Linked DNA regions of Macaca mulatta. The protein of the gene in region 2 binds, or shares a complex with, the protein of the main gene of each other region. Links are inferred from orthologs where the notes say so. Each region holds a gene or a part of one and is shown on either strand. Other genes may lie near its edges.

Evidence for each region. The genes of interacting proteins can lie anywhere in the genome.
Region 1: NLRP5 (region 2) and KHDC3L share a complex: the UniProt entries of both Homo sapiens proteins name them as parts of the subcortical maternal complex. The link is inferred for Macaca mulatta from reciprocal best matches to the Homo sapiens genes NLRP5 and KHDC3L.
Region 3: the proteins of NLRP5 (region 2) and TLE6 are in contact, whole or in part, in a cryo-EM structure (PDB 8H94), measured with the Mus musculus proteins. The link is inferred for Macaca mulatta from reciprocal best matches to the Homo sapiens genes NLRP5 and TLE6. Residues at the interface, in NP_035990.1 of Mus musculus: Gln185, Phe188, His283, Arg307, Glu326, Lys327, Lys329, Ser330, Ser334, Pro335, Leu336, Met444, Ala447, Glu448, Trp451, Tyr465, Tyr507, Tyr508, Glu511, Glu515, Asn517, Phe520, Phe522, Leu540, Met543, Lys544, Leu547, Val571, Lys574, Leu575; in NP_444484.1 of Mus musculus: Pro147, Gln148, Pro149, Val150, Cys158, Gln159, Phe161, Leu162, Ile163, Gly165, Leu166, Trp167, Leu169, Phe170, Ser173, Arg174, Gln175, Lys176, Asn177, Ala247, Asp248, Lys249, Phe250, Lys252, Pro253, Ser255, Trp256, Leu261, Glu262, Cys265.

What each region holds. Positions count from the first base shown.
Region 1 is NC_133409.1:112,314,734-112,321,401, forward strand, and holds KHDC3L (KH domain-containing protein 3), read right to left. Parts: upstream 3,247-6,668; coding exon 3,078-3,246; intron 2,892-3,077; coding exon 2,712-2,891; intron 2,437-2,711; coding exon 2,165-2,436; downstream 1-2,164. UniProt on the Homo sapiens protein: Component of the subcortical maternal complex (SCMC), a multiprotein complex that plays a key role in early embryonic development.
Region 2 is NC_133424.1:68,393,104-68,400,447, reverse strand, and holds part of NLRP5 (NACHT, LRR and PYD domains-containing protein 5), read right to left. Parts: intron 6,329-7,344; coding exon 6,158-6,328; intron 5,407-6,157; coding exon 5,239-5,406; intron 2,277-5,238; coding exon 2,106-2,276; intron 1-2,105. UniProt on the Homo sapiens protein: Component of the subcortical maternal complex (SCMC), a multiprotein complex that plays a key role in early embryonic development.
Region 3 is NC_133424.1:3,766,848-3,774,799, reverse strand, and holds the start of TLE6 (transducin-like enhancer protein 6), read right to left. Parts: upstream 4,465-7,952; 5' UTR 4,080-4,464; exon of another isoform or gene 3,928-4,079; intron 3,391-3,927; exon of another isoform or gene 3,369-3,390; 5' UTR 3,334-3,368; coding exon 3,283-3,333; intron 1,171-3,282; coding exon 1,088-1,170; intron 1-1,087. UniProt on the Homo sapiens protein: Component of the subcortical maternal complex (SCMC), a multiprotein complex that plays a key role in early embryonic development.

The DNA.
Region 1 (6,668 bases), on a different chromosome or scaffold from region 2:
GCAGGTGGATCACCTGAGGTCAGGAGTTCAAGACCAGCCTGGCCAACATGGTGAAACCCCGTCTCTACTAAAAATACAAAAATCAGCCAGGCGTGGTGGTGGGCGCCTGTAATTCCAGCTGCTTGGGAGGCTGAGGCAGTAAAATTGCTTAGACCCCGGAGGTGAAGATTGCAGTGGAATGCCATTGCATTTCAGCCTAGGTGACAGAGCGAGACTCTGTCTCAAAAAAAAAAAAAAAAGTAGACTTGCCCTCTTAAATGTTAAAACAGTCTACAAAGCTACTTAATTAAAATAGGAGGTAGACAGCAGAAAAAGTAGAAAAGTTACACATGAACATAGATTGGTTAACACTGAATTTGGTCAAGGACAATGAAAACAGCTTGTAAAGGAGAGAATCCAACATTCTGGTAAGGTGGGTATTACACAGAGAAAAACAACATACACATTGAGTTTTAGTTCTGTGATGTATCCTCATCTGAAACTGATTTTGTGTTGATTTTGAATTTAAAATGTTCTAAAGTTCTTCTAAAATTAGTCAACTATTTTAATAAAATGATTACCAGTTAAAAGTTGCTAATAAGTTTTTGTAAATTCAGCTTTATGTTGTAATTCCCTTATTGTAAGGTACATGATTATTTTAAACTCGAGTGATAATTAGTGGTGACAAAAAGTTTGTGATAGACATTCCCCTGATATTTAAAGTTAGCTTTGAACTTTTAAAAATTACTAGTGATTGGCTGGGCGTGGTGGCTCACACCTGTAATCCCAGCACTTTGGGAGGCCCAGGCGGCGGGCGGATAACCTGAGGTCAGACCAGTCTGGCCAACATGGTGAAGCCCCTTCTGTACCCAAAACGCAAAAATTAGCTGGGCGTGGTGGCGCGGGCCTGTAGTCCCAGCAACTGGGGAGGCTGAGGCAGGAGAATTGTTTGAAACCGGGAGGCAGAGGTTGTGTTGAGGTGAGATGGGGCCACTGCACTCCAGCCTGGGGGACAGAGCGAGACTCCATCTCCAAAATAAAATGAAAATTATCAGTGATTCTTGGTTAAAAAAAAAAATCCTAATTAAATCCTAATTACAGAATTACTGCATGCTATTGTTTAATCCTAGCACCCAGCTGTTGGCTTGCATTCTTCTAGATTAATTCGCAGGCTCAGGGACCTGCATCCCAGTGCCCTGACCAGAGCTGTGACCCGGGAAGCCAAAGTGTTCTCTGCTCAGGCTCCTCGCTGCCGCAGTAACTGAGGAAAGAGTAGCCGGTGCCTGTATCTTGCTGGTGTCCAAGACCTTCCTGGAAGGTGGGTGACCCAAGCAAGACCTGAAGACGGCAACAGTGCAGCCGGAGAGTGCAGCTCGGCTCTCTTCGTTTCCCCCTTCCCCGAGGTAATTTTCCCCAGCGGGGAAAGTGTTCTGTGGCAGCGTCGCCATACACGCAGGGCCTTCCAAATCCAGCTGGCCCGCAAGCGACCCGGTTTTCTCATCCCAAGTCACCTTGAGTAGAACCACAGCGGGCTTGGAGAGGTTTCCTAGTGGGCCAGAGAAGCTTCTCACCTGTTAAAGCCAGATGCGCGCAGTTAAGGAGTACAAGGGGCACAGCGGACCACAGCCAGGGAAGATTGCGACCCCGGGCGGCTGGGAGCCAGAAGCCCCACCTGTCTCGAGGTAAAGAGCGGCGCAGGGCAGAACTGGGCTGTTGGAGGAATACGCCTTTCCCTCCCCTCTACCTTCCAAAATACAGACGTCAGGGAAATGCAATTGTTTATCAGAACTCAAGTTTGTGTTGACAACCACTCAACAGAAGGTGTAAAACAAAAACAATCCACGTCAACCTCCCCCGCCACCCCGGCTTCCTGGACTAAAGTAGCGGGGGGCTTCCACTTTGCAATTATTTATTAGAACTCAAGTTTGTGTTTGCAGCCATTCAACAGAAGGGGTAAAAAAAACCAATCCACATCATCCACCCTTACCCCAGCTTCAGGGGCTGAAGTAGGGGGCGGCTTCTAGTTTGCAATTTTTTATTAGAACTCGTTTGTGTTTGCAACCATTCAACAGAAGGGGTAAAACAAAAAATCCACATCATCCTCCTCCCAACCGCAGCTTCTGGGCGAAGTACGGGCTTTCACTTTAACCCCTGACTGGCTCTGGCTCCAGGGCCCGAGATGCCTTCATAATCTGGTAACTGGGGCCCGGGTATCCTCGCGAAACCGCTGGGTCACTGCCTTGCTGGCAGCTTCGGGGGATCGCTGGGTCCCGGACTGGTTGGCAGCCTCGAGAGACTGCTGGGTCCCGGTCTCCCGCACCTCCACCGGAGAACCCTGTGTCCCGACCTCCCGGACCTCCACCGAACGCTGGGTCCCGGCCTCCCGGACTTCTGTTGAAGACAGCTGGATCTCGGCCTTCTTAGTGGCGACATCCTGGGCGAGGGCCTTTCCTGAGCCTGAAAGAAGAGCAGTGTGCGGAGGCCACAGCTGTGTCCCTATATCCTCTCCAAAAAAGGACAGTCACCCAAGCGGCCTGCGGGAGTAGGAACCAGGAATCCCAGAACGCGGGTTCACTTTGGCCTTCTGGATCCATGGCAACCGCCCCGTCTCCCACCCACTAACCGGGGGCAGACTGGGAGGGCGAGACTGCAGCCCCAGCAGCCAGGAAACCCCAGGATCACTCCTACGGAGCCAGGGTTTGCTCCAGGTAGCCCCATTCCCAGCCCCGTACCTTTCGCCTGGAGCTGTCGGTGATAGTCAGCCAAGTTCATGATCATCTTGATTGTGTCCTCCTGGTAAGAAGGCCTCCCAAATACCAAGATCTCAGCCTCGCCGTTAGGGTCCAACCGATTCACATGAATCAAGATTTGGGACATACCCTGGACGTGCGGGATGCGTTCTCGGTCCCTGCCTGCGCGGGTAGTAGAGAGGCTGTGAGGGTTGGGTGGCTCCCGGGGGTCTTGGGAGGGGAAAGTGGAAGGAGGAGACAGCCAGAGGGCATTGGCTACTGGGGAGGCTTGCCCTGGAACGCAGTGGGATGTGGGTGTGGGCGGCAGAAAGAAGCCGCATAGGGGCTGCCCCTCCTTGCTCCACTCACCGAAGATCTTTTCCACCAGCCAAACCTCAAGGCGAACTACCTTCGGATTCTTCAGGAACTCAGAGTGGAACCAGGAGAACCGCTTAGGAAGGTGACCAAGCACCTCGACTGGCATTGCTTTTGGCTGCATCAGTTGCACGAGCGTCGGAAACCGCCTGGGAGTGTCCATGCTGCGCCCGGTCCTGCAGGAGACAAGACCACCACAGCAAACCCAAAGGCCAAGCTGGAGCTAGGCGACTAGAACTGCGGTTTCGCCTGGGCCTTATTTAAAGTGCTTTTGGCCAGCCCCTCCTCTCCAACCGCGCCCTTCTCATTGGGTCCCAGGCCTCGCCTCCGCCTCCAGGAGCCCCGGCTTTTTCCGAGGCAGCGCAAGTGCACCGGTTCCTGCGTTGCTCTCAGTGTCTCTTCTGTCAGGAGCAGCCCTTTCCCCAGCGCACCCGGGAGGAGGAACCGGGCTCTGGGCACCAGGAATCCGCTGGTGCCCAGCGGGAGTCTTAACCATGGACTCAGGAAGGCGTGGACAAGCCCAGTATCTCTCCCAGAGGAAGGAACTGATACTTGCAGAATGAATACTTCATACGTCCCTCACTCGCTTCTGATCCCTGGCCACTACGTTTTCTCCCTCTGGCACCAGGTTTTCAGATTATTCTGTCACTTGCCTGAGACAGCTGAGTACAGAGCAGAATAAGCGCCCGCCTTTTTGTTTTGTTTTGTTTTGCTATAGGGTCTGTGTAGTGAGATTTGCGTAGTAAAAAAAAAGGGGGGGATAGAAAAAAAGTTATGGGGTCTGGCTATGTTGCCCAGGTTGGCTTCGAACTCCAGGGCTGAAAAAAATCCTCCCTCTTTAGCCTCCCCAGTGGTGGGACTATAAAGCGCTTTTAATTAATGCAGCAATGAACACACCTAACCACAGATGGTTCTCGTGGTTTGGACACCAGAGGAGATTCCTTGAAAATTTTTGACATCTCTGTTCTTTTTTATTTTTAATTTTTTAAATTGGAGACAGGATCTCTGTCACCCAGGCTAGAGGGCAGTAGTGTGATTATAGCTCACTGCAGCCTCCAACTCCTGGGCTCAAGAGATCCTCCCTCTTCAGCTGCCCCAGTAGCAGGGACTACAAGCCTCTGACACCATGCCCAGTGATGCCTCTGTTCTCTAAATAACACAATTATATTTGTCTCATCCTTCCTTTCCTTTCTCCTTTCCCTTTTCCTTTCCTTTCTTTTCCCCTTCCCTTTCTGACAAGGGTTCATTATGTTGCCCAAGCTGGTCTCAAGCAATCCTTCTGGCCTGGGCAAAATGATAAAACCCTATCGCTACAAAAAAAATACAAAAATTAGCTGGGCGAAGTTGCACACCCCTGTAGTCCCAGCTACTGGGAAGGCTGAGGTGGGACAATCACCTGATCCCAGAGAGGCTGAGGCTACAGTAAGCAGTGATGGTGCCTCTGCACTCCCCGCGGGGTGACAGAGTGAGACCCTGTCTCAAAAAATAATAATAACTGAGCCAGGTGCGGCGGCTCACGCCTGTAATCCTAGCACCTTGGGAGGCTGAGGCGGGTGGATCATGAGGTCAGGAGATCGAGACCATCCTGGCTAACACGGTGAAACTCCACCTCTACTAAAACAAAACAAAAAAAAAAGTGTGAAAATAATAACTTTTAACTGTGTTGCTATAAGATAAATAATAATTTATAATTTATTTTTATTCAGTATTGAAACACTAAAGAGAACTTCAGGTTTGCCACATTAATAGACCAAATGTATATATTCAGGCCGCGCCCAGGCGGTCGAATATATTTAATATATAGGAATGATTTAGTAGTTGGGAAATTCTTACTTGCTAATTGAGACAATTAAAGTACTTTGCAAAACAACAAGAAAAAACAACCCCATTAAAAACTGGGCAAAGCCGGATGCGGTGGCTCACGCCAGCTGTTCTAGAGCAGCCTGGCCAACATGGCGAAATCCTGTCTCTACTAAAAATACAAAAATTAGCCAGGCGTGCTGACTGGCGCCAGTAATCCCAGCTACTCCTAAAGCTGAGGCATGAGAATCGCTTGAACGTGGGAGGCAGAGGTTGCAATGAGCCTGTATTCCAGTCTGCGGGATAGAGTGAGACTCTGTCTCCACAAAACAAAGAAACAAACAAACAAAACTGGACAAGGAACATGAAGAGATGTTTCTCCAAAGAAGAAATACAGGCAGCCAACAAACACATGAAAAATGCTCAGTATCACTAATCAGAAGAGGAATGCAAATTAAAATCACACCGATATACCATCATACACCAGTCACAATGGCTTTTATTAAAAAGTCAAAAAACAAGCCGGGTGTAGTGGCTTACGCATGTAATCCCAGCAATTTGGGAGGCCAAGGCGGGCACATCACCTGAGGCCAGGAGTTCAAGACTAGCCTGGCCAACATGGTGAAACCCCATCTCTACTAAAAATACAAAAATTAGCCAGGCATGATGGCAGGGGCCTGTAATTCCAGCTACTCGCGAGGCTGAGGCAGGAGGATCGCTTGAACCCGGGAGGCGGAGGTTGCGGTGAGCCAAGATCGTACCATTGCACTCCATCCTGGGCGACAGGGCGAGACTCCCTCTCAAAAAACAAACAAACCCCCCCAAAACAAAAACAAAAACAAACAAACAAAAAAACAAAAAACAAAAAAAATGACAGGGCATGGTGGTTCACGCCTGTAATCCTAGCACTTTGGGAGGCTAGGATTTATATATCTACCACTGTCTTTCACCCTCTTCCAACCCAAGTAAGCTGGGACTTAACTACATGCATCAGACCTAGATCCTCTTAAAACAGAGATATGATTTTGTTAAATCAATATTCAATGTTTGCACTATTAGGACTTTGTAAACTATTCATAGCTGTATATACTTTACTATGATTTCTTTCCTTGACAAAGTTTTGTTTTTCTAGATATTAATAATGGATTTATTTATTTATTTATTTTTTATGAGACAGCGTCTCACTCTGTCACCCAGGCTAGAATGCAGTAACCCATCATAGTTCACCACAGCCTCCAACTTCTGGGCTCAAGTGATCCTCCCACCTCAGCTTCCTAAGTAGCTAAGATCACCGGCATGTGCCACCACAACTAATTCATTTTAATTTTTTTTTTAGGACAGGCTAGTCTTTGTTTTTTGTTTTTTGGTTTATTTGTTTGTTTGTTTGTTTGTTTTGAGATGGAGTCTTGCTCTGTCGACAGGCTGGAGTACGGTGGTGCGATCTCGGCTCACTGCAACCTCTACCTCCTGGGTTCAAGTGATTCTCGTGCCTCAACCTCCTGAGTAGCTGGGATTACAGGCACCTGCCACCATGCCCAGCTAATTTTTGTATTTTTAATAGAGACAGGCTTTACTATGTCTCAGTGCCTGCAACATGGCCACTGTATGCCCAGGCTGGTCTCAAACTCCTGGGCTCAAGCGATTCTCCCACCTCAGCCTCCCAAAGTGTTGGGATTACAGGCATGAGCCACAGAAACCAGCCTTATTTCTTTAGTATGTATTTTTTCCCGATCTTCAGGAATATTTATCTTGCATGCTATCTTTACTTGTGCCAGTACTGCTATT
Region 2 (7,344 bases):
AAAGTGTTGGGATTACAGGCGTGAGCCACTGTACCGCGCCAATTTTTCCAATTTGAAAGTACGCTTAGGCCAGGCACCATGGCTTATATGTTTGTAATCCCAGCACTTTGAGAGGCTGAGGCGGGAGGACTGCTTGAGCCCATGAGTTTGAGACCAGCCTGGGCAACATAGCAAGACCCTGTCTCTAAAAAAAATTAGCCGGGCATGGTGGGATGTGCATGTAGTCCCAGCTACTTGGGAAACTGAGGCAGGAGGATCCCTGGAGCCTGGGAGGTAGAGGCTGCAGTGAGCTGTGATTGTGCCACTGTAGTCCAGCTGGGTAAACAGAGAGCAAGACCACCCCCCAAAACAGTACATTTAACACATCATGACCCTGAGACATAAACGACATACTCTGTCTGCTTTTTTAAAGCTTAGAAAGTTTTTTTTTTTTTTTGAGGCGGAGTTTCACTCTTGTTGCCCAGGCTGGAGTGCAATGGCATGACCTTGGCTCACTGCAACCTCTGCCTCCTGGGTTCAAGCAGTCTCCTGCCTCAGCCTCCTGAGTAGCTGGGATTACAGGTGCCCTCCACCACGCCCAACTAATTTTTTTGTATTTTTAGTAGAGATGGGGTTTCACCACATTGGCCAGGCTGGTCTTGAACTGCTGACCTCAGGTGATCCGCCCACCTCAGCCTCCCAAAGCACTGGGATTACAGGCGTGAGCCACCACACCTGGCCATTTAAGCAGCTTTTTATGTAGCACTGAAGTGATTCCAGACACAGTCTGCTACATGGAGTGAAAGCCCCTTCCCGTTGAGAATATGACACCCAAGACTGAGAGCTCAGGGTGTGATGGGGCCTCACGCCGTCACCCTCTAAGCCTGGATGTCTCATTGGTGACACCAGCACTGCCATCCAGCTAAGATTAAAGGTCACCTAGATCTGTGCTGTCCCGAATGGGAGCTGCTAGCCCCACATGGGTACTGAGTTCTTGACATGGGTCTAGTGTGATGAGGAAACTGACTTCCCCATTTAACTTAGATTTGGCTGGCCACACGTGGATACTGGCTGCCACACTGGGTGGCTCAGCTGAATCAGACCCACCCTTGACTCCCGGCATCACCATCCAAGCACCATCCAACTGTGGGACAAGTGACACAGCCTTTCCGAAGCTGTGTCATCTGTCAACTGGGTTATCAACAGCACCTGTTCCGTAGACCTGTTCTGAGAACTCAGCGAGGAAGGGTTGGAGGGATTTTAGCGCAGTGCTTGGCACAGCTCAGTGAGCATTGAATAGTGGGTGCTGTAACTCTGCTGCTGCTTCTCCTCCCCCTCCCTAGATCAGTTATCAGTAAGCAAGTCGTGTCCTTTGGGCCAGGCACTACTCACACCTGTAGTCCCAGAACTTCGGGAGGACAAGGCAGGAGGATCGCTTGGGCCCAAGAGGTCGAGGCTGCAGTGAGCTAGGATCTTACCACTGCACTCAGCCTGGGCAACAGCAAAACTCTGACACGGAAAAGGAAAAAGGTGATATCCCTTTAGGCGTCAGGGTGCGGAACTGCCGCCCCTCGCATTTCCACTTGGAGGCATTTCTGCTAGAACAACACAGGCCTGGGCTCATCCCTGCTCTGGGCTCCCTTGTCTCCAGAGGAGGAGGTGGGATTGGGATTTTGGGACCCTCCTTTTTGAGCCTCTCTGTGCCCAGAAGCCCAGAATGCATGAGCTCTGGCCTGGACTTTACCAGGCAGAGGGGAGCCTGACCCCCACCCACGTTGAGTGCCTGAGTGGGCGGGCATCTCTCTCCAGTCATGGGGACAAGCACTCACTAACCCACAGTGTAAGCTGCACACGTAAGCCTCACGCCCAAGAGAGCTTTATCAGGAGGGAAGGTCATTATTCAATTTCCATCTGACTGATTCCCGCTTCCACCTTGTATCTCCCATTTAGAGTTTGGCGGCAAGAACAGATGTTTATCAGGTCACTCTTATGCCCTGACTCTGGGGGCAGTCTCGGGAGGTCCCAACTTCCTTCCTCACCCTGTTTGTGCATCTGCTCATTCCCCTCCCACCATGACTGGAGAATCGAAGTTACCATAATCCCGGTGGAAAGGAAGTGGCACTCACGTCAGCTTCTGCAGGGCGCACTGGGAGACCCTCAAGGCATCACTGAGAGGCGTCACTCCCTGGTCTGTCACCTCATTTCCTGCCAGGCTCAGAGACTTCAGGCTGGGAGAGGTCGTAAGGATTTGGGAGATCTTCAGGTAACAGGCGTGGGTCAATCCACAGCGATCCAGCCTGCAGAGACAGGCAGCATGAAGCAATCCCAGCTCTCGCCCAAAGCAGCCCATTTCCCCTCTACTCAGCACACGCCAGTGGCACTGGCCATTTTCCTGGTCCTCAGACTCTGTCTGCTCCTGCCTCTGGGCCTGAAAATTTGCTATTCCTTCCATTGCAACCTCCCCTCCTCCCCCCTCCCTCAGGTCTTCATGGGGCTCATGTCCTCGTTCATGTCTCTTGAAGGTCGCCTTTCGGGTAAGCCACACCTTAAACAGTGCCTGCCCCACCTCCCTCCATTGTTTCAACATTCATAGCAACGCACCCCAGCCTTTTATTTTTATTTTTTTTTTTGAGACAGGGTCTTGCTCTCGTCACCCAGGCTGGAGCGCAGTGGCTCAGTCTTGGCTCACTGTAACCTCCGCCTCCCGGGTTCAAGCAAGTCTCCTGCCTCAACCTACCGAGGAGCTGGGATTACAGGTGTCCTCCACCACACCCGGCTAATTTTTGTATTTTTAGTAGAGACGGGGTTTCACCATGTTGGCAAGGCTGGTTTTGAACACCCGACCTCAGGTGATCCACCTGCCTCAGCCTCCCAAGGTGCTGGGATTACAGGTGTGAACCACTGTGCCTGGCCTGTGTTGAATTTTAGACAGAACTTTTAGAGCTCTCCAAGCCTACACATGCTCCTGCCATGTGTGCACACATCATTCTTTCTGTCTTGTTTTGTTCTCCCTGTGCTGGCCTGTGAGCATCAGGAGAGCAGGAATCTCGTTTCACTCATCAGCACATCCCAGGAACTTGTCGTAGTACTACACACAGAATCAAGCATCTGTCATTATTGAATAAAGGAAAGTTCCAACTCCTCAATGTGACAGTGAATGGAAACCCTTCACAATGTGGCCCAATCCATCTTTCAATGTCAAAGTCTACCGTTTAGAGACTTAGCTCATCATCCCATCCCTCTGTACAATAAATACTTTGGGGAATACGGGCCAAGTGTTGGGAATAGAGCAGTTCTAGGTTCTGGGGCTACAGGAGTGAAGAGAATAGAACAATACCCCTGCCCCTGTGTGTTATGAGAAGGGAAATTCATTAGACTTCCAGGAAACTGGACCTAAGTGACTTCAATGCTTTTTCCTTTCTTGGCCCCAAATAGCCTAGATCCATCTTTTCTGACAACGTGTATATTTATTCTTTGAATCCAAGCTCCAGCTCTCTGCACTTGTGGTGCAGAGTGAGCAAAAGAGTGAGCATGTAGCTTCCTCCAATCTGTTCCCAGATAAACCCCACGTGAGGTCAGGCACAGCATTTCCGTCCTGAGACGATGTCTATGCTTTGGCCAATTTCCCTGGGTTACATCTTTTTAAAGTACAGTTCCTTGGCTACCAGGCAAACACACACGGTGCAAAGCAAATTCTTATTATTCTTTGATGTTAGTTGATGTGCCAACTAACAAAGCTCAAAGCAGGGCTTGTACTTGTCTGTCTCAGAATATTTGGGAGGGTGCAGCAGGTGGATCACTTCAGGTCAGAAGTTCGAGTCCAGCCTGGCCAACATGGTAAAACCCCCATCTCTACTAAAAATACAAAAATTAGCCAGGTGTGGTGGTGCACGCCTGTAATCCCAGCTACTCGGGAGGCTGAGGCAGGAGAATCACTTGAACCCGGGAGGCAGATGTTGCAGTGAGCTGAGATCACACCACTGCACACCAACCTGAGCAACTGAGCTAGATTCAGTCTCAAAAAAAAAAAAAAAAAAAAAAAAAAAAGGAAAAGAAAAAAGGAAAAGAATACTACATAAACATTAAATAGTTGTATCTCTAGACCAAGCTAATCTAATGAACAAACCACCTTCCCAGGACTTGCAAACCACAGTGAGAGCCCCAAACCGGAACCAACCAACCAACCAACGTGTCCCTGGACAGGGGAATGGTTCAACTGCAGTACTTCATAGCATCGAATGGCTGTCGCCAAGAGAAAGGAAGAAAATGTCGAACACTTGACTGCTTGGGTGGATCTCAAGCACTGACGGAGCAAAGCCCGTCTCAGGCGACGACATACCACACTGACTTCACTGTAAGAGCATTGTCAAGGCCGGGCACGGTGGCTCACGCCTGTAATCCCAGCACCTTGGGAGGCTGAGGTGCACGGATCATGAGGTCAGGAGATCAAGACCATCCTGGCTAATATGGTGAAACCCTGTGTCTCTACTAAAAAAAAAAAAAAAGAAAAATAAAAAAAATGAGCCGGTCGTGGTGGCGGGCACCTGTAGTCCCAGCTACTCGGGAGGCTCAGGCAGGAGAATGGCATGAACCGGGTAGGCAGAGCTTGCAGTGAGCCGAGATCGCACCACTGCACTCCAGCCTGGGCAACAGAGCGAGACTCCGTCTCAAAAACAAACAAACAAACAAACAAACAAAAAAACAGACCAGACTGGGCAACCGAATGAGACCTTGCCTCTGCATAATTTTTTTCTTTTTCTTTTTCTTTTGAGATGGAATCTCGCTCTGTCACCCAGGCTGGAGTGCAGTGGTGCCCTCTCGGCTCACTGCAAGCTCTGCTTCCTAGGTTCAGGCCATTCTCCTGCCTCAGCCTCCTGATTAGCTGGGACTACAGGTACCCGCCACCACGCCCGGCTAATTTTTTTTTTGTATTTTTAGTAGAGACGAGGTTTCACCGTGTTAGCCAGGATGATCTCGATCTCTTGACCTTGTGATCTGTCCCCGCCTCGGCCTCCCAAGCATAAAAATTTTTAAATGAAACTTTGAGGTTTTTTTTTATTGTGATAAAGTATTTATAACCGAAAATGGACTATTTTAATTATTTAGGTGTGCAATTCAGTGGCATTAAACTCCTGCAACCATCACCCCCATCCACCACCAAAACTTTTTCAGCTCTTTAATTTTTGCCTCTTTCTGTAATTATTTCCAACAAAAGCAAAAACGAAGAAACAAAAGGCAAAAGCCCTACCAGAGACGCACCTCAAAGACTCCAACAAACATTTTGGGTGTTTTAAGGCTTCACACGCCATCCTTACATCCTCTTCCTTCAGGTGGGTGCCTCCCAAATTGAGGGATCTTAGGTTACGGTTGGCAATGAGGGTTCTCCAGAGGTGCTGCAGACCAGAGGCAATCTGTGCGTTCCTAAACCTGCAGGAGACGGGAAACGGGAGATGCATGTGACACTGGTGACGTTTTGTTGTGACCTCACTTATCCTTCCCATCCTTCTCCCATTCTAACTTGCAAATTTCTAATTGTATTTCCTTGTAAAGCAACGAATACCTGAGTGCCTGTGATGGGCCAGCTACTGGGAATAGCGTATGAAGCAGTATTAACAATCCCTGCCTTGAAGAGCTTAATCCATCCAAACCCGTCCAAACCTGGTGTCAAGGAACCTGCTTCAGTAACACAAGGTTTTTGTTTGTTTTGTTTGAGATAGAGTCTTGCTCTGTTGCCCAGGCTGGAGTGCAGTGGCGCAATTTTGGCTCACTGTAACCTCCACCTCACTGGTTCAAGCAATTCCCTTGCCTCAGCCTCTCAAGTAGCTGGGATTACAGGCACGTACCACCATGCCCTACTAATTTTTTTTGTATTTTTAGTAGAGCTGGGGTTTCACCATGTTGGCCAGGCTGGTCTCGAACTCCTAACCTTGTGATCCTCCCGCCTCAGCCTCCCAAAATGCTGGGATTACAGGCGTGAGCCACTGCGCCTGGCCGATCACAAGGTCTTTAGCAACTCCCCACTCTGTGCTTTTGGGAACTTGGTTCCTACACCTTGGGTGGCACTGATGCCCTCAGGCTGAGCTTGAGGGGTTTCAGATGGGTCTCCTCTCAGGAGGTAGGGGAGAGCTGGGACAGCGTCATGGGAAGGGATTCTCTCACAGGGGGTGGGCAGCCTTACCTCAGGGTCTGTATCTTGCAGGTGGGATGCCTCAGCTTGGCACACAGGGTCTTCATGGCCCGCTCTGTCAGGATGCTGCTGCCCAGGTCCAGCTGCCGCAGGTTGGGGTGGGTGCTGAGCACAGAGCAGAAATCTTCCCACTGATCCTCCATGAGGGTCTTACCCCGCATCCTACATCAGGGGATAGAAACAGGGGCTCGTGGGATGGAGTTTAATATGAGCAACTGTGGTAACATGTCGGAGAGGGACAGAGCTATCGAGGCACATCCTATGTTGGGGGGGACAGAAATATGGGCTTGTGGGATGGAGTTTAAGGTGAACAATCGTGGCAACATGTCGGAGGAGAGGGACTGAGCTATCGAGGCGAGACCGGGGCAGCTTTAGAGACTCTGAGGCAACTTAGTGGCTGCCATCACGCTTTGCACGACTAGCCCTGTGTCCACCCTGCCTCCTGGATATATTGATACCCGAGGGGGTATGCAGGTATGACTAGGAACTGCCAGCTCCTGAGTCAGATCTTTTTTTTTTTTTTTTTTTGAGATGGAGTCTCACTCTGTCACCAGGCTGCAGTGCAGTGGCATGATCTCAGCTCACTGCAACTTCTGCCTCCCGGGTTCAAGCGATTCTCCTGCCTCAGCCGCCCGAGGAGCTGGGACTACAGGCGCCCTCCACCATATGCAGCTAATTTTTGCATTTTTAATAGAGATGGGGTTTCACCATGTTGGCCAGACTGGTCTCAAACTCCTGATCTCATGACCTGCCCCTGCCTCGGCCTCCCAAAGTGCTGAGATTACAGGTGCGAGCCACCGTGCCTGGCCCTACATCAGGTCTTTGCTTCAATTCCAGCTCCACTTGAACGTAAAACTGTGCAACAGCTTTGGAAAACAGTACAGAGGTTCCTTAAAAAATATTAAAATAGAGCTACTGTAGGACCTAGCAATCCTATCTCTGGGTGTAAGCTCAGAAGAACTGAGGTCAGGATGCAGAAGAGGTATTTGGTCTCCCGCGCTCACTCTGACATTATTCATAACAGCTCAGATGTGGAAAACTTACATGTCCATCCATGGATGAACAGATAAACAACATGTGATACGGCCAGGCGCGGTGGCTCACGCCTGTCATCTCAGCACTTTGTGAGGCCGAGGCGGGCAGATCACCTGAGGTCAGGAGTTGGAGACCAGCCTCAA
Region 3 (7,952 bases), about 65 Mb from region 2:
CTCACTGCAACTTCCGCCTCCTGGGTTCAAGAGATTCTCCCACCTCAGCCTCCCGAGTAGCTGGGATTACAGGCACCCACCACCACGCCCAGCTAATTTTTTATTTTTAATGGTGAAAGTGTTTCACCATGGTGGCCAGGCTGGTCTCAAACTCCTGACCCCAGGTGATCGCCCACCTTGGACTCCCAAAGTGCTGGGATTACAGGCATGAGCCACCGCGCCCCACCCTGCCACTTTCTTCAATTTCTTTTTTTGAAACAGAATCTCACCCTGTTGCTCGGGCGAGGGTGCAGTGGTACAATCATGGCTCACTGCAGCCTCCAACTCCTGGGCTCAGATGATCCTCCTGCCTCAGTCTCCTGAGTAGCTGGGACTACAGGTATGCACCACCACACTCAGATTTTTATTTTTTAAGATATGGTGCCTCACTATGTTGCCAAGGCTGGTATTAAACTCCGGGCTCAAGCGATCCTCCTGCCTCTGCCTCCCAAAGTGCTGGGATTACAGGTACAAACCATTGCACCCAGCCCATGCAGTATATATATATATATACATATTTTTTTTTTTTGAGACGGAGTCTCACTCTGTAGCCTAGGCTAGAGTGCAGCGGTGTGAACACGGCTCACTGCAATCCTCCGCCTCCTGGGTTCAAGAGATTCTCCTGCCTCAGCTGGGATTACAGGCACCCACCACCACGCCTGGCTAATTTTTGTATTTTTTGTAGAGACGGGCTTTTACCATGTTGGCCAGGTTGATCTCGAGCTCCTGACCTCAAGGGATCCGCCCGCCTCTGCCTCCCAAAGTACTGGGATTGCAGGTGCGAGCCACCACACCCAGCCATTGCAGTATTTTTCAACAATAAAATTGAATGCCAACAAATCCATGTCGCACAGGAAAATCAACATATGAAACAAAAGCTGGGATGGGTATTGCTGGGTTCTCCATGCTGGGTATCGACATGGCTTCCTGTTCCTGAGCCTGTCTCTTGGGCCAGCAGTTTCTAGACCACTCACTAGGACCCCAAGGAGAGAGGCCAGGTGGGACCCCTTCCCAGCGTGGGACTGCCAGCCCCTGGAATTGCTCTCACCTGGGGAATTGCTTGAGCCGATTTAGAATGCCTTGATAATTCAGTGGTGGAGAGCTCTCAGAGTTCGAGATCCCAGGACGGGGCTGGAAAGGTCAAAGCAAGGTTACATAAAACTTACAATGCCCTGGCCGGGCACGGGTGGCTCACGCCTGTAATCCCAGCACTTTGGGAGGCTGAGACGGGCGGATCACGAGGTCAGGAGATTGAGACCATCCTGGCTAACACGGTGAAACCCTGTCTCTACTAAAAAAAAAAAAATACAAAAAACTAGCCGGGCGAGGTGGCGGGTGCCTGTAGTCCCAGCTTCTCGGGAGGCTGAGGCAGGAGAATGGCGTGAAACCGGGAGGCGGAGCTTGCAGTGAGCCCAGATTGCGCCACTGCACTCCAGCCTGGGTGACAGAGCGAGACTATCTCAAAACAAAAAAACAAAAAAAAAAACTTACAATGCCCCAAACACTCAAGACCCCAGGTCTCCATCTCAACCAGAGTATAGGTATTAGGTTGATGCAAAAGTAATTGTGGTTTTTGTTTTTGAAACAAGTCTTGCTGTCACCTAGGCTAGAGTGCAGGGGCACAATCTCAGCTCACTGCAACATCTGCCTCCCAGGTTCAAGTGATTGCCTGCCTCAGCCTTCCTAGTAGCTGGGATTACAGACGCCTCCCACCATGCCTGGCTAATTTTTATATTTTTAGTAGAGCTGGGGTTTCACCATCTTGGCCAGGCTGATCTCAACCTCCTGACCTCGTGATCCACCCGCCTCGGCCTCCCAAAGTGCTAGAATTACAGGCATGAACCACTGCGCCCGTCCTCTTATTTCAGTACCTAAAAGAGCATCTTCCATTTTGCACTTTGGCCTAAAGTCTAAAATATTCACCACATTCTTGTGATGAAAATAGAAGCACAAAATATTTTTAAAAATAAAAGGCCAGGCAAGGTGGTTCACGCCTGTAATCCCAGCACTTTGGGAGGCCGAGGTGAGCAGATCACCTGAGGTCAGGAGTTTGAGACAAGTCGAGGCAACTCAGCAAAACCCTGTCTCTACTAAAAATACAAAAATTAGCCGGGCATGGTGGCACACACCTGTAATCCCAGCTACTCGGGAGGTTGAGGCAGGAGAATCATTTGAACCTGGGAGGTGGAGGTTGCAGTGAGCCAAGATCGTGCCACTGCACTCCAGCCTGGGCGACAAGAGCAAGACTCAATAAAATAAAGTCTCTTGGCCAGGTGCAGTGGCTCACGCCTGTAATCCCAGCACTTTGGGAGGCTGAGGCGGGCAGATCACGAGGTCAGGAGCTCAAGACCAGACTGGCCAACATGGTGAAACCCCATCTCTACTAAAAATACAAAAAAAAAAATTGGTGGTCATGGTGGCAGGTGCCTGTAGTCCCAGCGACTCGGGAGGTGAGGCAGGAAAATCACTTGAACCCGGGAGGCGGAGGTTGCGGTGAGCCGAGATTGCGCCACTGCACTCCAGCCGAGGTGACAGTGTGAGACTCCGTCTCAAAAACAATAAAGTCATAAAGTCTCAAAACAAAATATTCCTCATCTGACCCCTTTACAAAAAAGAGAGTTTGCTCAGCCCTGAGAGCCTAAATTTACAAATGGTCATCTCTGGGACATAAAGTACAGGGAGCCCGGATTGCTTGTAAAATATTAACCAAATACGTGCTGTGTTCCTGTGTTTTTTATCACGTATGTGATTAGAAGCTACATTTTTTTTAAGGATGGGATCTCACTTTGTCACCAAGGCTGAAGTGCAATGCCTCAAACTCCTTGGGCTCAAGCAAAGCCTCTGCCTCAGGCTCCTGGGTAGCTACAACTACAGGCAGGCCCATGTCACTAGGCCCAGCTGATTCTTTTAATTTTTTTTTGTAGAGATGGGGGTCTCATTACGTTGTCCAGGCTGGTCTCAAACTCCTGGGCTCAAATGATCCTCCTACCTCGGCCTCCCAAAATGTTGAGATCACAGTTGTGAGCCACTGTGTCCAGCCTACACTTAATTTAAAAAAAAAAAAAAAAAACGGCTCCTTGGCACCTGTCTTGAATGTAGCAGTGACCGGTATTGTCTTCAGCTGTGAGGCCTGGATGAGGCCAGCCCAGGTCATAGGTGGATACAGGATGAGAAAGGGGCAGAACCTCATTGGGCTGACCTAGGTTTCCCTTGAGGGCTGATCCCACCCCATGCCCTCCTCACCGAAGTGCCTTTCGGGGGGCCCTTGGGGCTAGGCTGGTCCCTAGAGGTCATCTTCAGGCAGTAGCCTCCAGGACTTTAGCCAAAGTCTAAAACAAGGAGACAGCAGGTCTTGAAGGACAGAAAATAAGGCAGTGTCAGGGAGGGAGCCACCCCTTACCCCACCTGCACCTCCCGGTTTGGTAAGTCTCCAGGGCCCCAGTCCTGCGGTTCCCCCATGCGTTCCCTAGGTCCCGTCCTCACTTATCAATGCCTCCAGCTGCCCAGATTCGTGGGGCCGGGGACCCAGAAAGAACTGAACCCTGCCTCCCAGGCCTCACCCTAGGAGGTTGGGGTGGATGGTGCACATACACTCCCTGCTGGGGGAGCCCAGGGAAGGTCACCAAAGCTCAACCTTAGTTTTCAGACAATTTCCTAAAGTGCAGGGATATCACTAGAAAGGGGTTTTGAAGGATGAATAGGAGTTAGCCAGGTGCATTAGGCGGAATTCATCGGACAGAAGAAACGACCTCCCTCCACCTGCATCCCAGCTGCAGCACCAAGCTCCTTCCTTGCCTCAGTCCTGCCCTTCCACACCCCTGCAGCCCCTTCCCCGGCCCGGGAATCTTGGAGTCCCCCCAACCCCCAGGAAAACGCCTGGCAACTCACGTCCCTCACAGGGCGGAAGCTGCCGAGGTCAGCCAAGTTCAGGCCAAGAGGAAACTCCTCCTTCCCCCACCGGGGGCCATTTGACCCATCGGGCCCCGCCTTGTCCCGCCCTGTCCCTGCCCCGTCCCGCCCAGGCCCCACCCAGCCGCCACCTGGACCGCGAAGCGGATCAATGAAGGCGCAGTAGCTGCACGTGGGTTCGGGCTCGGGGTGGGCAGGCATCTGGCGGCGCTGGCCAATCGTGAGGCCGTTTGCGCACGTGGGTCGCGTACGCCCTCCCTGATTGGCCGGCTCTCCCCGGCTGCCGGCCAAGCTGTCACTCAGCGAGCCGGGAGCCTCCGCTTAACCCTTTCGGTCCCGCTGCCGGGAAGGGCGGAATTGCAGAGCTCTAGGCAATTTGGGGTCCCAGCGGGGGCGGGGATATTTAGGAGGGCGTGGGGCTTGAGGCTCGGAGGGTGGAACTTGGGGAAGGATAGGTGGCGAGTAGTTGCATTGTTTTACTCATTTTTAGCCTTGTCCGGAAGTGGCTTACGGCTGGAAGTGAGGAGTGGGAGGTGGGTGGGGTCAATCTTTAGCGCTCTCACCCCAATGCTTATATACGGGCTAATTATATTTTCCTCAATATTAAATAACGTGCAATGCAAACGAAGCTTCTAGTTCTCTTTCGGGAGCCAACTTACTGGGTTCCCTTGATGGTCCTAGCCCCGGGCTATGCATTTATCATATTGGAGCTCCCAGCCCAGTGACAAAGGCTCTGAGAGCAGAAAGCCCGACAGCAGAGGCCCTGAGGCTGGTACAGTACTGCCAGATCCAAGCCCGGGGTGGGAGAGAGTGGTGGGTATTCCAGATGGAGGGAATAGTGGAAGCTCTCAGGCAGAGCTGGGCTGGTTACAGGAGAAGACCGGGAGGCTAACGGGGCTGCGTGCACTCCGAACACGCCTGGGATGATTTCAGAGAGGTAAGTGGGTTGCTACAGAGCGAGAGAAACCTGCTATGTGGGGTGGTGGGGATAGGGGTAAGGGGATTCTGGAGTTCTGTTTCGGCCTATTCAAAATATGAAGGCAAAGCACCATGGCTCACACCTGTGATCCCAGCACTTTCGAAGGCTGAGGTGGGAGGATTGCTTGAGGCCAGGAGTTGGAGACCACTCTGGGCAATACAGTGACACCCCGTCTCTACAAAAAAATTTTAAAATTAGCCAAGTGTGGTGGTCATGCACCTGTAGTCTCAGCTACTGCGGAGGCTGAGGCAGGAGGATTGCGTAAGCCCACACTCCAGTCTGAGCAACAGAGCAAGACCCCATCTCAAAAAAAAACCCCAACATACATATTACATATACAATACATATATAAAATATATATTATATATAAAGTATATGTTATACATATATAAAGTATATATAATATATAAATATATGTTATACATATATAAAGCATATATAACATATAAAGTATAACATATAAAGTATATATAATATATATAAAGTATATATATTATATATATAAAATATATATATGTAGTGAGAGCCCAAGATTCTTTCTGTTTGGCCCAGAACCTGGTACTGGCATTAGCGGTTCGCTCTGCCAGGGACAGTCTCCCTCAGACAGCCACTGGCTGGCTCCTTACTCCCTCAGATCCCTACTTAGAAATCACCACATTGGGCCGGGCGCAGTGGTGCATGCCTGTAATCCCATCACTTTGGGAGGCAGAGGTGGGTGGATCACCTGAGGTCCAGAGTTCGAGACCAGCTTGGCCAACATGGTGAAACCCTATATCTACTAAAATACAAAAATTAGCCGGGTATGGTGGTAGGCACCTGTAGTCCCAGCTACTCAGGAGGCTGAGGCAGAAGAATCACTTGAATCTGGGAGACAGACGTTGCAGTGAGTTGAGATCGTGCCACTGCACTCCAGCCAGGGTGACAGAGCAAGAGTCTATCTCAGGAAAAAAAAAAAAAAATCACATCAGGCCAGGCGTGGTGGCTCACGCCTGTAATCCCAGCACTTTTAGAGGCTGAGGCGGGAGGATCACTTGAGGTCAGGAGTTCCAGACCAGCCTGGCCAACATGCTGAAACCCTGTCTCTACTAAAAATACAAAAATGAGCTGGGCATGGTGACGCACACCTGTAATCCCAGCTACTTGAACCTGGGAGGCGAAGGTTGCAGTGAGCCGAGATGGCGCCATTGCACTCCAGCCTGGGCGACACAGTACTCTGCCCCAAAAGAAAAAAAAGAGTTCGTGACCAACCTGGCCAACATGGCAAAACCCTGTCTCTATTAAAAATACAAAAATCAGCTGGGTGTGGTGGCAGACGCCTGTAATCCCAGCTACTTGGGATGCTGACGCAGGAGAATCGCTTGAACCGGGAGGTAGAGGTTACAGTGAGCCAGGATCGTGCCATTGCACTCCAGCCTGGGCCACAAGAGTGAAACTCTGTTTCAAAAAAAAAGAAGGAAGGGAGGAAGGGAGGAAGGAAGGAAGGAATCATCTCATCGAAGAGACCACCTAACCCTCCCTTCCCTTTCTTTTTTTTTTTTTTTTTTTTGAGACGGAGTCTCGCTCTGTCGCCCAGGCTGGAGTGCAGTGGCCGGATCTCAGCTCACTGCAAGCTCCACCTCCCGGGTTCCCGCCATTCTCCTGCCTCAGCCTCCCGAGTAGCTGGGACCACAGGCGCCGCCACCTTGCCCGGCTAATTTTTTGTGTTTTTAGTAGAGACGGGGTTTCGCCGTGTTAGCCAGGATGGTCTCGATCTCCTGACCTTGTGATCCGCCCGTCTCGGCCTCCCAAAGTGCTGGGATTACAGGCTTGAGCCACCGCGCCCGGCCTTCCCTTTCTTATATCTCCCTTTCTTTCTTTTTTTTTTTAAATACAGGGCGAGGGGGAGGGGAGTCTCAGTAGGTTGCCCTGGCTGGTCTTGAACTCTTGACCCCAAGTGATTCTCCCACCTCTACCTCCCAAAGTACTAGGGATTATAGGCATGAGCCACTGTGCCGCCACCAGGCCTGTATCTCCCTTTCTCATTTTATTTTTCTCCAAATGTGGTTTGGATTGCAGCTAATCTTGTAATCTCAGTGGCTCCTGTGGCGGGAGCCTCCCACGTTAGCTCTAAACCCTGGGTGTTCTAAATGCAGAGAATGCTGTCAGGATTCTCCTACAGAGACGCCTCCCATTCTCTGACCTCCCCATGTGACACAAACACTCGATAGGTCTGCTGACTTCAGATCCACACCCAGCCAGAGAAACTTCCATGTTTTCTGTTCTGTGCTCTCTCACTGCGGAGAACTGAGGGTTTTAGTGCTGGGACAAGTGGCCCCCAAAGGTCAGGTGATGTGCACACATAACTTGGGTTTTGCAGCTGGTCCATGGAGGACACAGGGAGGAGCTGACATGAAAGAGCTGCAGGAAAAGTTCCCACCCACGAACCCTCCACTGTCCCATAATTATTATTATTATTATTATTATTTTTTTTTTTTTTTTTTTTTTTTTGAGACGGAGTCTCGCTCTGTCACCCAGGCTGGAGTGCAGTGGCCGGATCTCAGCTCACTGCAAGCTCCGCCTCCCGGGTTCACGCCATTCTCCTGCCTCAGCCTCCCGAGTAGCTGGGACTACAGGCGCCCGCCACCTCGCCCGGCTAGTTTTTTGTATTTTTTTAGTAGAGACGGGGTTTCACCGTGTTAACCAGGATGGTCTCGATCTCCTGACCTCGTGATCCGCCCGTCTCGGCCTCCCAAAGTGCTGGGATTACAGGCTTGAGCCACCGCGCCCGGCCTATTATTTTTAAATGTTTATTATTTATTTTTTTTTTTGAGACAGAGTGTTGCTCTGTCGCCCAGGCTGGAGTGCAGTGGCGCGATCTCGGTTCACTGCAACCTCCACCTCCTGGGTTCAAGCGAGTCTCCTGCCTCAGCCTCCTGAGTAGCTGGGACTACAGGGCCCGCCACCATGCCCGGCTAATTTTTTGTATTTTTAGTAGAGATGGGGTTTCACCGTGTTAGCCAGGATGGTCTCGATCTCCTGACCTCGT